4 separate regions of the Mus musculus genome follow, and regions 1, 2 and 3 are each reported to be linked to region 4. The links are microRNA targets in miRTarBase. Many come from high-throughput screens and were not tested one by one. Region 4 holds a microRNA gene; each other region holds the end of a gene's coding sequence.
What was found. The annotated mature microRNA mmu-miR-1187 reads UAUGUGUGUGUGUAUGUGUGUAA and lies in region 4 at 1,806-1,828, opposite strand. An mRNA with a match to its seed (bases 2 to 7 or 8) in the 3' UTR can be bound and repressed. Matches are read on the target gene's strand: a 7mer-m8 pairs with bases 2 to 8, a 7mer-A1 pairs with bases 2 to 7 and ends in A, and an 8mer does both.

Region 1 (3,184 bases), not on the chromosome of region 4:
CATTCTAGATATACAGTCTATTTCTGAACACATATGCACAGTTCTTGGTACCAAGGATAGCAGCTTTTGGTGTTTTTAAATCTTACCCAAACTATGTCAACACCCACTGAGTGTTACTCACTAAAATGCCACTGTTTTGTCACATATTGTTAAGTGCTTGATATTGTGAAGTAATTTGGTAGAAAAAAAAGTATGGCTAAGAAGAAAGGGGCTTCGATATGCCTGCTAATAAAATGAACACTTGTCTCAATGGACAGCATGTCTATGAACTGAATCCTCACATACTTTTATTTTTACTCACATGACCACATGCCACTCTACAGAGACAAATACTTTGTGTGAGCTGATGGAGATCTTTATGAAGGCCTGAGATCTACAGATAGAAACTATTATAAGCAGAGTGCAAGTAGAAAGAGAAGGCCCCAGGTCTCATGCACTTAAAAAATAATTACCATTTATTAGTTCTGACGTACAGATTTTCACCCTAACATGATTGTAGCAAAATGACTGTAGAACATTGAAACCAGTGTGGCTGGCTATAGGCATAGGCAAGATAGGAACCAATATTTAAGAGTTGTGGGGTCCCAGTTCTGGCTTTGACTTCTGGCATCTAAATTAATTGGACAATAGGGTCAGGACTATACAATAATTAGAAATATTGAGTAAGTCTGAGTTGAAATAAATACTGTCCTACTTTTGTCTATGTGGCCAAAAGTACCAGAGTTCTTAAAGCACGTAAGGTCCCACATGTAAGGCTGATTCCATGTGTGGCTACAATGGAGAATTCTAGGCTGTATTCCTGTGAATGCTCCCACCCAATCCCAGGCCTAAATCTCTTTGGAGGGCCTTAACTAATTAACTGTCCCTCTTTACATTGGTTCATACATGTTTTAAAGCACAGATTAAAATCCATGCAGATCAACCAATTTAAAAAAAAAAAGAAACAGATGACACACTCAGAATATAGTATATACAATTGGCAGTCATGGTATTCAAAAATTGTCAAACCATTTTTGGTATGAACATTGTACCTTTGGGATATATTTTTAAATAATAGTTGCTGTTAAAGGCTAATCCCAGAATGGCTTGAGGATTTTTGAAGGCCCTCTCTATGGTCTTAACCTTTACTTTCATGTAAGTCCAACCAGGACATGGCACTGACATAGTTTATATTCAGAACGAAAGCATGAAGAAACCTTATACCAAACATGTAGCCAGTTCAGTAATTCTTTTTAACAAATAGTCAGCCAGTGACTACTTTTATTGGGAGGGAGTTCACAATTAAGGCAATCTATTCCACATTTGAACAAATTTAATTACGAGAAATTCATCCTAACACAAAGTTTAAAAAAAAAAAAACCTGCTCTTTTGCCAGTTTTAATGTCCTAGTTTGGCCAGCTGAACATCTGGTGGGACATTCTAAGAATCAGATCCTTCTGAGATCTGAGATCTGAGATCTAACAAACAACTGAGTTAAGGAACCTGTGAGAAAAGCCCATTACTCTCCAATCCTTTCTGAGGCCTTCTGCATGAGCCAGCATGGTGAATTATAGGACTGTGTAAAATGTAGGCAGAGAGCACTGCACCCGAAGCCACATACTAAGCAGCATCACTAAATTGATAAGTTGTCAAGGAAGCAACATCTCTATGCAGCAGCAGTAGACTTAATGAAGGAAAAGCAGGCCAACCATGTATTTGCAAATGTGGTTGGCATATTTAAGCGTAATCCATTCACTAGTGTCCTGTGACTCACATGGATTAGAACCAACCTCCAGTGTCATTAGAGTAATTCTTATAGAAATGATTTTTCTTAAGTTCATAAGAGAGTAAACCATACGTAAGGATTTGAACATGTCAGTGTGTTTTTATACATCTATATTCTTAATCACCACCACCTTTTTCTAATACATGTTTAGAAATTCTTGCTTCCATTATTTTCTGTAACACAGCTCAGAATCCTAATTTTCCCTTTGGTAGAAATGACATAAACTACTTGGCAAGAGTTGGTGGCCTTTGCTAGCTGGTTAATGGAACACTTTAAGCTCTTTCACTCCTTCATGCGGCTGGGTTCTAGGTTTAAACTGTGATTAAAAATACTTAAATCTCTCAGGACTAAAACTTTCTGATATGTCCTGAGCCACACAAGAAGGGAAAATAGCAGGAATTACGCAAAATACACTTGGCTCAATAAAGCTTTTTAAAAAACCGCTTTACAACTTCAATTTGAAAGGTTCTGTTTCAAAAACAGAACATTATCTTTTACTTTCATGTGTGTGTGTGTGTGTGTGTGTGTGTGTGTGTGTATGTGTGTGTGTATGCAATCACGTGCGTGCACGTACTTTCATGTATGTGTCTGTGTGTACCTGTGTGTATGCAATTGCCTGTGTGAGCATGCTTTCATGTACGTGTGTGTGTGTGTGTGCATGTGTGTGTGTGTGTATGTGTGTGTGTGTTCATACTACCAAAGAGCACAGTCGTTTTTACACAACAGACTGACCAACTTATTGCACACTTGTCAAGAGTCCCTACCTCTAACAACAAGAAGAACTTGCTTTGGAGCCACTGTTCAAATCAATGGTGTGACCTAACATACAATGTTCCAGCTGTTCCTCTACAGCTAACACCTGCCTAACAGCTTCTTCAAAGGCCACTGTCACATTAGTATCATCTTTGGCACTTGTTTCTAGATAAGGGTAATTTCCATTCTCCATGCACCAGGCTTGTGCCTCCTCAGTCGTTACTTGCCTATCCTCTTTGTCTACCTTGTTACCCAGAACCACAAAGGGGAAATGATCTGGGTCCTTTACATCTGCATAGTAGATGAACTCTTTTTGCCAGTTACCAAGGTTCTCAAAGCTCTGCCGGTCATCCACACTGAAGGTTAGCAGGCAGCAGTCGGCTCCCCTGTAGAATGGTGTTCTAAGGCTCTTGAAACGTTCCTGCCCCGCAGTGTCCCAGATCTGGAGGGTCACAAAGCGTCCATCTACCTCCAGATCTCGATTTAAGAACTCTACCCCTATCGTGTGAAAAGCCTGGGAGTCGAACTTGTTGGTTACATAACGGTTCATAAGTGAGCTTTTCCCAACTCCTCCATCACCCAAGAGGATGACCTTTAAGAGAAGGGATTTCCCACTCATGTTGCAGCACCAAACAGGGAGAAGTCTGCAAACAAAAAAAACCTGCA
Region 2 (3,184 bases), not on the chromosome of region 4:
TATTGATTGATTACCAGAGGCTAAGTTCCTGATTACCAGAGGCTAAGTTCCTTATTACAGAGAAGCATCGATTTTGTGACAATGTCTACAGTTTTCCACCAAATACTAACACATTAATATATATATATATATATATATATATATATATATCAGTACTCCTTAAAGACCAAATGCCCAGTTTTTAAACATTCACAGTAAAAAGTAAAATATTCAGGCTCAGACATCAATTAGTTTTAACCTAAGCAACCTAGCATTCCCTTGGAAATATTCAATCCCTCCAAATGACAACTTCCAAATAAAACACATTTCCTTCTTCCCTTTAGTCACGTTCCTTACGTATATATTTTTCTTAAAGTGCAAGAAAGTAAAGCTATAACTTGATTAGAACAAGGAACAGAGTGCTTATATAGACTGTTATGTGAAAATAATAAAAGATGTCTGCTCAGGGTCCCTCGCTCCAAGACCCATCCTTTCAGGAGTTGAGCTGTCCCAGGCACTCTGTAAACATTTATTTTCTTCTAGAGAGAAATCTCAGAAGTGTGGCCAGAGCTGTCTCCTTTTATCCCCCCAACCCCCTTCTCATCAGCTTTGGCTCTCGAGCCATGGAGACCCGGCTCCTATTCTGATTTCTTTCAGATACCTTCCCAAAGGCTACCAGCTTCCCTGGCAAACTTTGAGAGAGATGTCTCAGGGAACTGAGGTAGCCCCACTCACCCAAGCTCCCGAGGATCAAGCAGGTTAGAATCGTCATGTAAAACTCAGCCTCCATTTTCCACTTAACAACGGTTCATGCTTCGCTTTGGGGAAAAAAAAAATTTCTCCCAGATAAGAGAGGCAAAGAGTAGGAAGGAAACGTGCTTCACGGAGAGGGGGAAAGTCAGTGACACACTTCCTCCAATTGAATTGTTTGGGGGGGAAGTTTTACACCAGTGTCCTTTTGTCTGTTTCCTTAGAAAGGAGGGATAATGTCCATCTCTTTTTAAAATGTAGAGCCAGCCTCCGGGAGCCAGAACAAACCCCAGAAAGTCACCCCTGCCACCCCTCTGGCACATGCTTATGTCTTAACCTCAAGATGGAGAAAGGGAATCGTAATGGTAGATAATTGAGTCTTCCTGCATCACGGCTTCTTTTCAGGTGATACGATTCTGCCCCATCTACGTAAGCCATGTAATTTATGGGGTCTGTGACAAGTGATATAAAGACATAAACATGTACTGTTTGTATAATGAGATGCTGGCGTCCATAAGGAAAACCACATAATGATGGAGCTCTGAGATCATTATCTCTCAAGTGATTACAAGATTGCAATTGGAGAGAGTCATCTCCCGCCCTGAGGAAAAGACTAAAATTAAATCCGTCCTATTACCTCCTTCAGTTTACCGGGAGTAAGTAAAGAAGAGGCTTCACTCAGTATTTACTGTTAAGAGTCATTTATTGGGAGTACGAAAGAAAGTCAGCTTTGCTGCATTGAAAATTCATATCTGAGCAGAACATCTCCTGTTTGCTGAGTGTGATTATTTTGCCTTCATTTGTCTCTTGAGGAAGGAGGTCTTTTAGAAATGTGAGGTCGTGCATGACAGTGTCCTCGGAAAAACTTTTGGGGATGAAACAGGTTGGAGCATTCCCCAAAGGCACCTGCTTCTTATTGGGAGAGAGATACCAGGTAGACACCATATTTAAAAATCCCTTCTTAGTAAAAGAGAGATGAGTATTTAAAATTATTGATACTTTATAGTTGCTATAAATTTGTTTATCCCCTTTTAAAGTAAAACAAGTCACAATGTAGAAATATAGTAGTTAGTATTGTGGAACAGGAGCCACTTGTATGCCTAATAATAGAATATATATGTGTACATATACATATAATATACATATACATATACATATATATCCAACGACAGTCATTGTGCTCTGTAATTGATCCATAGGAGATACTATAAATGCACACTTAATAGATATAATCAAGACACATGTCCATATAAAATAGTCACTGCATTTGATTTTTTTTTTTTTTCCAAAAACAAAAATGTCTTGGTTAAAAATCCATTGTCGATCACTCGAAACTTGAGCAGCAAGATTCTGGTAACTGAGATAGTTAATAGCACTTACAACAGGGACAGTTGGACAGCTGACAGTCCAGTCACAAGACAGGCTTTATGAACATTAAAGCATCTAAACACAGGATAATGTCAGCAGCTCCTCCAGTCTCTGAATATCACACACATCGATTCTGTGCGGCGGAGAGGCGACACAGACAGAACAAAACCCTCCTCAGGCTGCGAGAGGACTGTCATGCCTCCATCAGCACAGGACCTTCAGAATAACTGGGGGGATGCCTACGAACGCAGTCCTATACACAAAGGCTGGCAATCTTTCATGTTGCCAGATCTTCCACAATCAGTGCCTTAGGCTGGCTTTAGAGCCTCCTCGTCCATTGCAGGGAGCCCCTCTTGGAGCTCTTGGTAGGTAATTTGATGAATCACCCGGTGAGAGATTGACACTCTGGTAAATCTTCGGAGTCACTCGACAGTTTCTGGTGAAAGTCTGCTCTCGAACAGGCACAGAGCATGGTGCACAAATTCATACTGCTCGCTGGTTTGGACCATACCACCCCTGCATGGAAGAGATTATAAAATCACTCAGTTTTGCTGACACCTTATAATACTGTAACCGAAACATGACGCTAGAATGAGTCTTATGCCAAACAGGCAGAATAGCTGATCTAGTGAATTTTTTTTCTACCCTTTTTACCATCCTGGCTGGCGAAGTTAATATGTTAGTGCAGTCCCATGCTGTGCACCAATGCTGTATCATGGTGCGTTATGCACAGGTTAGCGATAACGATGATGCTGGTGTGAACGAGCCTACCTGGTGGCAGCTGTAATTACTGTACATTTCCTTGGAATGGATCATGCTAACTTTGTTGATAGCATTGGTATTTACTATGCTTCTTAGTGTGACTTAGCATGTACTCTGATTTCAGTGTTAAGGGTTGACTGGACAACTGTATGCCATGTAAGGCTAGCAGCCACTGCGTGCATCTCATAGCTATTGCACCTCTTGACAGTGCCATCTTCTCCTGTGCTTCCATTGGTTCCTGGTGGCTTTGAGAGAAGCAGGAAATGCTGTACATATAGCACGTCATCTAGTTGTGTGGTAGGTCATGCTATCCGGGTTTTTACAT
Region 3 (3,156 bases), not on the chromosome of region 4:
ACAAAGGAGTCCACATGGTTCCAGCTGCATATGTAGCAGAGGTTGGCCTTGTCATGAATCAATGGGAGGAGAGGTCCTTGGTCTTATGAAGGCTCAATAGATGCCCCAGTATAGGGGAAATGAGAGCAGGGAGGTGGAGTGGGTGGGTGGATGGAGGAACACCCTCATAGAAGCAGTGGGAGAGAGGATGTGATAGATTGTTTCTGGGAGAGAGGGAAACCAGGAAAGGGGATAACATTTGAAATGTAAATAAAGAAAATATCCAATAAAAAATAATTTAAAAAACCTACTAGAAAACTTGGAAGAAATGCCTTTTTAATTGGTATAAACATTATGTTATTACATTTAGAAAGCAATAATTCCAGTGTTTCTAGAAAGACTTGGCATCTCTAAAAATAGTTATATGAACTTCATAAAAAGAGATATATTTTCTGCTTTCAGATCTTATGAGTTGTTATGATTAGTACAGCCAAGTTTGAACACAAGGAACTATAATAAAACATTCTTTTACTATTAAAATAATTCTCCCAAAGTCTATATTAAAGCTTTACAGATTTCAGGGAAGGTGTAGTCTGTGAAACTGTGCCAAAGGTACACACAGTTGTGAGTGATATGTTGCTGTGAAACCCTCTTGGATGAAAATAATAAACTTTGGATATGAGAACACTTAATTTATTGGATGTCAGTGCCTCCTGCCTGTTTGTCTTCCTAAGCTCTTGGATTGAGACCTAACTGTGATGATCCTACTCTGTTCTTTGAAGCTCAGCTCCTGTAAACAGAGAGAAGGGATTAGTGTAGTGAATATTTGGCTTTGAGTTAATTGAATGTCTAATTTCCAGTGGTGTTGAACTTGGCTGGATACCCGTGTGGTTATAATATGCAAAGCCTCTGAAAACACATGGGTTCTCAAATAATGGCATGCTTTTTCCCCTGATTTTTTCCCCAAATGGTATTTTTGTTCTTTCCCTTACTGTCTACTTCAAATAAATTTTATACAGTTTTATAATTCCTTCAACATATGGCTACTGCCTCCCAGCTCCTCGTGTGCATTGGCAAGCAGCCACGTGCACCACTGAAGAGTGATTTCCTGGATGAGTTTTCAAGAATCCTCCTTTATCCACATTTCTACCTGTGTTCAACTTCTTAACATAGAGTTAGATTAGACCGTCCTCTCTTTATGCACCTTCTGTCTCCCTCCTTCCCACCTCTCCCTGTTCTGTTAGTACAGTTTTCTTTGAGCCTAGGCAGAGCATTTTATGCTGCCAGTGTTATTAGAGGTTTTTGCGAACAATGAGAGTATAAAACTTGTTTGGGTAATCCCAAGTGCTTCTTGCTTTTGACATCTATGGAGTCCTTGCCTGTTATTTTTGAATTATGAGTAGGAGGCCCCCCCCCCCTTTTAAAAATTTTGTACTTCTGCCTGTTCAAAAATTCTTAGAGCAGAAAATGTGTTAGCTTTGTAAGCCTTGTTACTCCTATTGAGAGCTCGTATGTATTTCCGTTTTGGAAAAATACATTTTACTTAACATTAATTGAGATGTGGGCCAGGCACACACATTGACGCAAAGGAGGAAATTTGGAAGGAATAGATGCTTTGAGATAAAGACAATGTCAGAGACAACAAAAAGTGTTTTCTTGAGATATCAGTAGTCAAAGAGGCTGAGACCTCTAAGCTGAGGATACTCAACCTCTCAAATCTTACTTAGGTGCTTTCTCTATTTCCAACCACCTTCTCACAGGTAGCCAGGAGGCGGCTGCCTCAACCCAGGAGGTGATGCTGGGAAGTTGGGAGGAAGTTGGCTGAGAAGATCAGAAGCACCTGTTTGTGTTTTTTCCCCTTTCTGTTAAAAGCCTCTTGTGGTCCTCTTTGTGTCCAGGCATTGTAGCACATGTGCTATTTCTGATCCATAGAGCTTTAATCTACTGTAGTCCAGAGTGTAAGTAAGATAGAAAAATTTTTACAAGCATATCTTGCAATAGAGAAAAATCTGTTAGGAGCAAAATATACTTGTGTGATGACTTTATATGCACGTATGAAAATACATGTGTATGTGTATACATAAATGTATTTATGTGTATTGTGTATACACATAAGTACACTGTATATTATGCTATTTAAATGGAACCTGGATATCCATTATAGATCTTATTGGGTTATTTGTGGAAATAAATGTAATATTTCAGTGTATTTATTTGTTATAGTGGGAGTCCTTAAATACAAAATCTTACTGCTAACAAACTGGATTAAGGCACCAATGTAATGGGAAAGTAATGTATATTTGCTATTGATGTGTTTGGCTGCCAAATCACAGAGAATTTCCATATTAGTTATAAATTGCAAACAGCAGCAAAGACTGGAAGTGTTCTGTACAACTTTAAAAATGTCTTGACTCTAACTCTTCCTAGTCCTAGAAGTTTCTTTCACAGACTTTCTTCTGTGAGGAAGATGCAGTCAGGTGAGCAGCCAGAAGAATCAACAAGGCTTAGTCTACTCCATTCAGACAAGCATCGGGCTCTCTGGGGAGTCCAGTGGAAGGGCCTACGGGGATGTCTGTGACTTCTGGTGGGGGCTGCTCCCTAGACTCACAGCCGGGCACCACAGCAGAATCTCCCTCACTCTCTGGAGATGGTGAAATATCATATTTTGCCTCTACTACAGATAGGGAGCCCTGGGCTGGGGACAGTGGGGCCTGACCAGAAGTGTTTGCCTCTGGTTTATGGGGCTTCGGACCCGGGGTATTTTCTGCAGGGAGACCCTGACTTTGTAGCTCTGCCTCTGCAGGGGTACAGGAGGCTGTAGGGGCAGGTGTGGCCTCACAGACGCCCTCCGCCACAGCCTGAGCACCTACAGGGGGCCGAGGACTCCCTGAATCAGCGGGAAGGCTGGGATGGTTTAAACGGGCTGTTTCGGGGTGCTGGTGGGTGACATCACTTCCACTTTGAGGACCATTCACTGCCAGCTGTCTTTCCGTTGGTTGGTCTGGGGTGAACTCTGGATGATGAAGGATGGTAAAAGCTGTGGCCAGGTTTTCCACAGCTTTTTGAAAACTGTTGGCTTCCTCTGCGTCCACCTCTTCATTTTCAGAGACGCTTGGCTCTGGCTCTTCCTCAGAGGTGCGCTGAACCTGGTCTTCCTTTTCGGACATTTTTGCTTCT
Region 4 (3,184 bases):
ACAGTAGAAACTTCCTAAAATAAATTCATATAAACATATCAGGATATTTACCATATAGTAAATAGTTACCATATAGCACATGTTGGGTTTGGTATATTGCTATGAATACAAACACCAAATTATGAAGATCTGTTCACTAACCAGACAGATAAATTCTTGGGTGCACTGGTCCTGTGTTGTGTAAATGTTGCTCCTCAATTTAAAGCTATTGTTTAATTAAAAGTTAGAGGCTGTGAATGGGCAGAAGAGAGAGGAAGGCATGGCTTGAGTGGAAATTAAGTGAGGGGTCACTAGAGAGACTATGGGTGAGAAAGAGAGGAAGATGGAGAGGGAAGGCTGTGATCCATGGAGCTGGACCATGAGCAAGTGGCCAGGAGAAGTGCATAAATAAAATACCACGTTTCTGTGTCATTTATATGGGCTAGCTAGAATAAATTTTTCATTAACATAGACATATGGAAAACTTCAACAAATGTGTGATGAATGAGCAAAACAAAATTTTTAAGGACAGAATTCACTGATGAAAATCGTCAACATCACGAGGACTGAAAATGTTAAAGTTTAATTGCTCAGTGAAGGAATATTTGAGAGTTGACTCTGATTTTGAAAGCCCTGCTATGAATAAACACTGTTAAGGTTCTTAGGTTGGAGTCAGCACTATCCTAACTCCTGTACAGTCTGAGTTCTCAGAGACCTCTGTAAGAATCAAATAATAATCTTGAAAGAAAGCAAGACAATTGCTTATGCAACATGCTTTGTCCTGGAACAAAAGCCAGGTTCATAGTCAGGCTCATACTCCTCTTGATTTTTATTCTAACAGAGATGATGGCTGTGTTGCTTCCCCATTGGCAGAGGTATCATTTCAGTCTTTCATGATTGATATATTTAAAAGAATAGAAGTAAAACAAAAAGGAGGGGGGCAGGAGAGATGGATGCTTGGTTAAGAACACTGACTGCTTTTCTAGAGGTCCTGAGTTCAATTCCCAGCAACCACATGATGGCTCAAAACCATCTGTAATGGAATCTCTTCTGGTGTGTCTGAAGAGAGCAGAAGTATACACACATAGATAAAATATACAAATTAATCTTAAAAAAAAAGAAGTGAAAAAAATAAGTTGGAAAGCTGGAAGGGGTCAACAGCCTAATCATTTAAGGTCTAATATTAAGCAGGGATCTTATGCAAATAAAGTTTTAACTCAGTGGTGAATTTAGCATTTGTATTGATGGGGAGATGAAAATATTTTAATTCCTTATCAATCTTTTATAGTATCTGAGAAAAAAATGCTAAAATGTGAACTTAATGTTTTTGTACCTCAACTAAAGTGAAGCCAGTATTTTGGTCATAAAAATTAACTTTAAAATAAACCATTATCAAGAAGTGTTGATCTGTGTTGAGGAAATGCTGTAACATAAATTTAAACACAGGCTTGATTAGAAAAAATAATTATTAGGGAAAAAGATTGCACCAATGTCTGAATGTTGACTTCTCGGGAATCAGCTTAATTTTTTTGTAAGAGCCTTATGCTACCATACTGACAACTGAAGGATATCTCAAAGTTTTGCTAATAGAGATTTAAGTGAAATCATAGGGTGATTGCCAGGAATTAAGTACAATTAGAGCTTGCAAAATAAAAGTAAAAAGTAGCCCAGAATAGTTAAGGGAGTTCGGATGTTCTCTTGGTAAATAATCTTACACTCTTCTTTGTGAGATCACCAGAAAATATCAGGAAATGAAAAGTATCACAGTGGAAGGCTACATATGCTCAGATCTTAAGCATGGCTCATTACTATTTTAACATTGTTATTTACACACATACACACACACATATATATATATATGTGTGTGTGTGTGTGTGTAAAAATAAATTGTGTCTATAAGGAAAACAGTTCGGTTTAATACTATATGACAGATACTACACACAAAAGAAAAAAAAAGAAAGAAAGAAAGAAAGAAAGAGGCAGAGAGAGACAGAGAGAGACAGAGAGAGAAATGAAGACCTAGAAATGGACCCACACACCTATGGTCACTTGAACTTCACAAGAGCACTAAAACCATCCAGTGGAAAAAAGACAGCATTTTCAACAAATGGTGCTGGCATAACTGGCAGGTAGCATGTAAAAGAATGCGAATTGATCCATTCTTATCTCCTTGTACAAACCTCAAGTGTAAGTGGATCAAGGAACTCCACCTAACACTGAAACACATAGAGGAGAAAGTGGGGATAAACTTCAAAGATATGGGCACAGGGGGAAAGTTCCTGAACAGAACAGCAATGGCTTGTGCTGTAAGATCGAGAATCAACAAATGGGACCTCATAAAATTGTAAAGCTTCTGTAAGGCAAAAGACACTGCCAATAAGACAAAAAGGCCACCAACAGATTGCGAAAGGATCTTTACCAATCCTAAGTCAGATAGGGGGCTAATATCCAATATATATAAAGAACTGAAGAAAAAGGGCTCCAGAATATCAAATAACCCTATTAAAAATGGGGTACAGAGCTAAACCAAAGAATTCTCAACTAAGGAATACCAAATGGCTGAGAAGCACCTGAAAAAATGTTCAGCATTCTTAAACATCAGGGGAATGCAAATCAAAACATCCCTGAGATGTTACCTCATATCAGTCAGAATGGCTAAGATCAAAAATTCAGGTGACAGCAGATGGTGAGAATGTTGAGAAAGAGGAACACTCCTCCATTGTTTGTGTGATTGCAAGCTGGTACAACCACTCTGGAAATCAGTCTGGTGGTTCCTCAGAAAATTGGACATAGTACTACCAGAAGATCCAGCAATACCTTTCCTGGGCATATACCCAGAAGATGTTCCAACTTGTAATAAGGACACATGGTACACTATGTTCATAGCAGCCTTATTTATAATAGCCAGAAGCTGGAAAGAACCCAGATATCCCTCAACAAAGGAATGGATACAGAAAATGTGGTACATTTACACAATAGAGTACTACTCAGCAATTAAAAACAAAGAATTTATGAAATTCTTAGGCTAATGTATATATCTGGAGGATATCATCCTGAGTGAAGTAACCCAATCTCAAAAGGACACACATGATATGCACTCACTGTTAAGTGGATATTAACTGAGAAACTTAAGACTACCTAAGATAAAATTGGCAAAACACTTGAAACTCAAGGAGAAGGAAGACCAAAGTGTGGATACTTCATT

Region 1: the mRNA of Rab9b is a reported target of mmu-miR-1187. Seed matches in the 3' UTR shown: 8mer at 2,439-2,446, 7mer-m8 at 2,424-2,430, 7mer-A1 at 2,347-2,353, 8mer at 2,303-2,310, 7mer-m8 at 2,268-2,274 and 7mer-m8 at 764-770.
Region 2: miRTarBase lists Ptprr as a target of mmu-miR-1187. Seed matches in the 3' UTR shown: 7mer-A1 at 1,846-1,852.
Region 3: the mRNA of Txlnb is a reported target of mmu-miR-1187. Seed matches in the 3' UTR shown: 7mer-A1 at 2,071-2,077 and 7mer-A1 at 2,049-2,055.

What each region holds. Positions count from the first base shown.
Region 1 is chrX:136,858,513-136,861,696 of GRCm38, forward strand. It overlaps Rab9b (RAB9B, member RAS oncogene family), which reads right to left. Exons shown (of 3, transcript NM_176971.3): 3 at 1-3,179. The coding sequence starts at 3,137. The coding sequence ends at 2,532. Among named protein-coding and RNA genes, the nearest start is that of Rab9b, 8.5 kb to the right of the region's middle.
Region 2 is chr10:116,273,162-116,276,345 of GRCm38, reverse strand. Ptprr (protein tyrosine phosphatase, receptor type, R) reads right to left here. Exons shown (of 14, transcript NM_011217.2): 14 at 1,417-2,613. The coding sequence ends at 2,520. It also overlaps a transcript of Ptprb not described here. Among named protein-coding and RNA genes, the nearest start is that of Ptprb, 27 kb to the left of the region's middle.
Region 3 is chr10:17,842,808-17,845,963 of GRCm38, reverse strand. Txlnb (taxilin beta) reads right to left here. Exons shown (of 10, transcript NM_138628.3): 10 at 301-3,156. The coding sequence ends at 2,484. Among named protein-coding and RNA genes, the nearest start is that of Gm20655, 8.8 kb to the right of the region's middle.
Region 4 is chr5:82,797,159-82,800,342 of GRCm38, forward strand. It overlaps Mir1187 (microRNA 1187), which reads right to left and starts at 1,907; the gene lies at 1,786-1,907.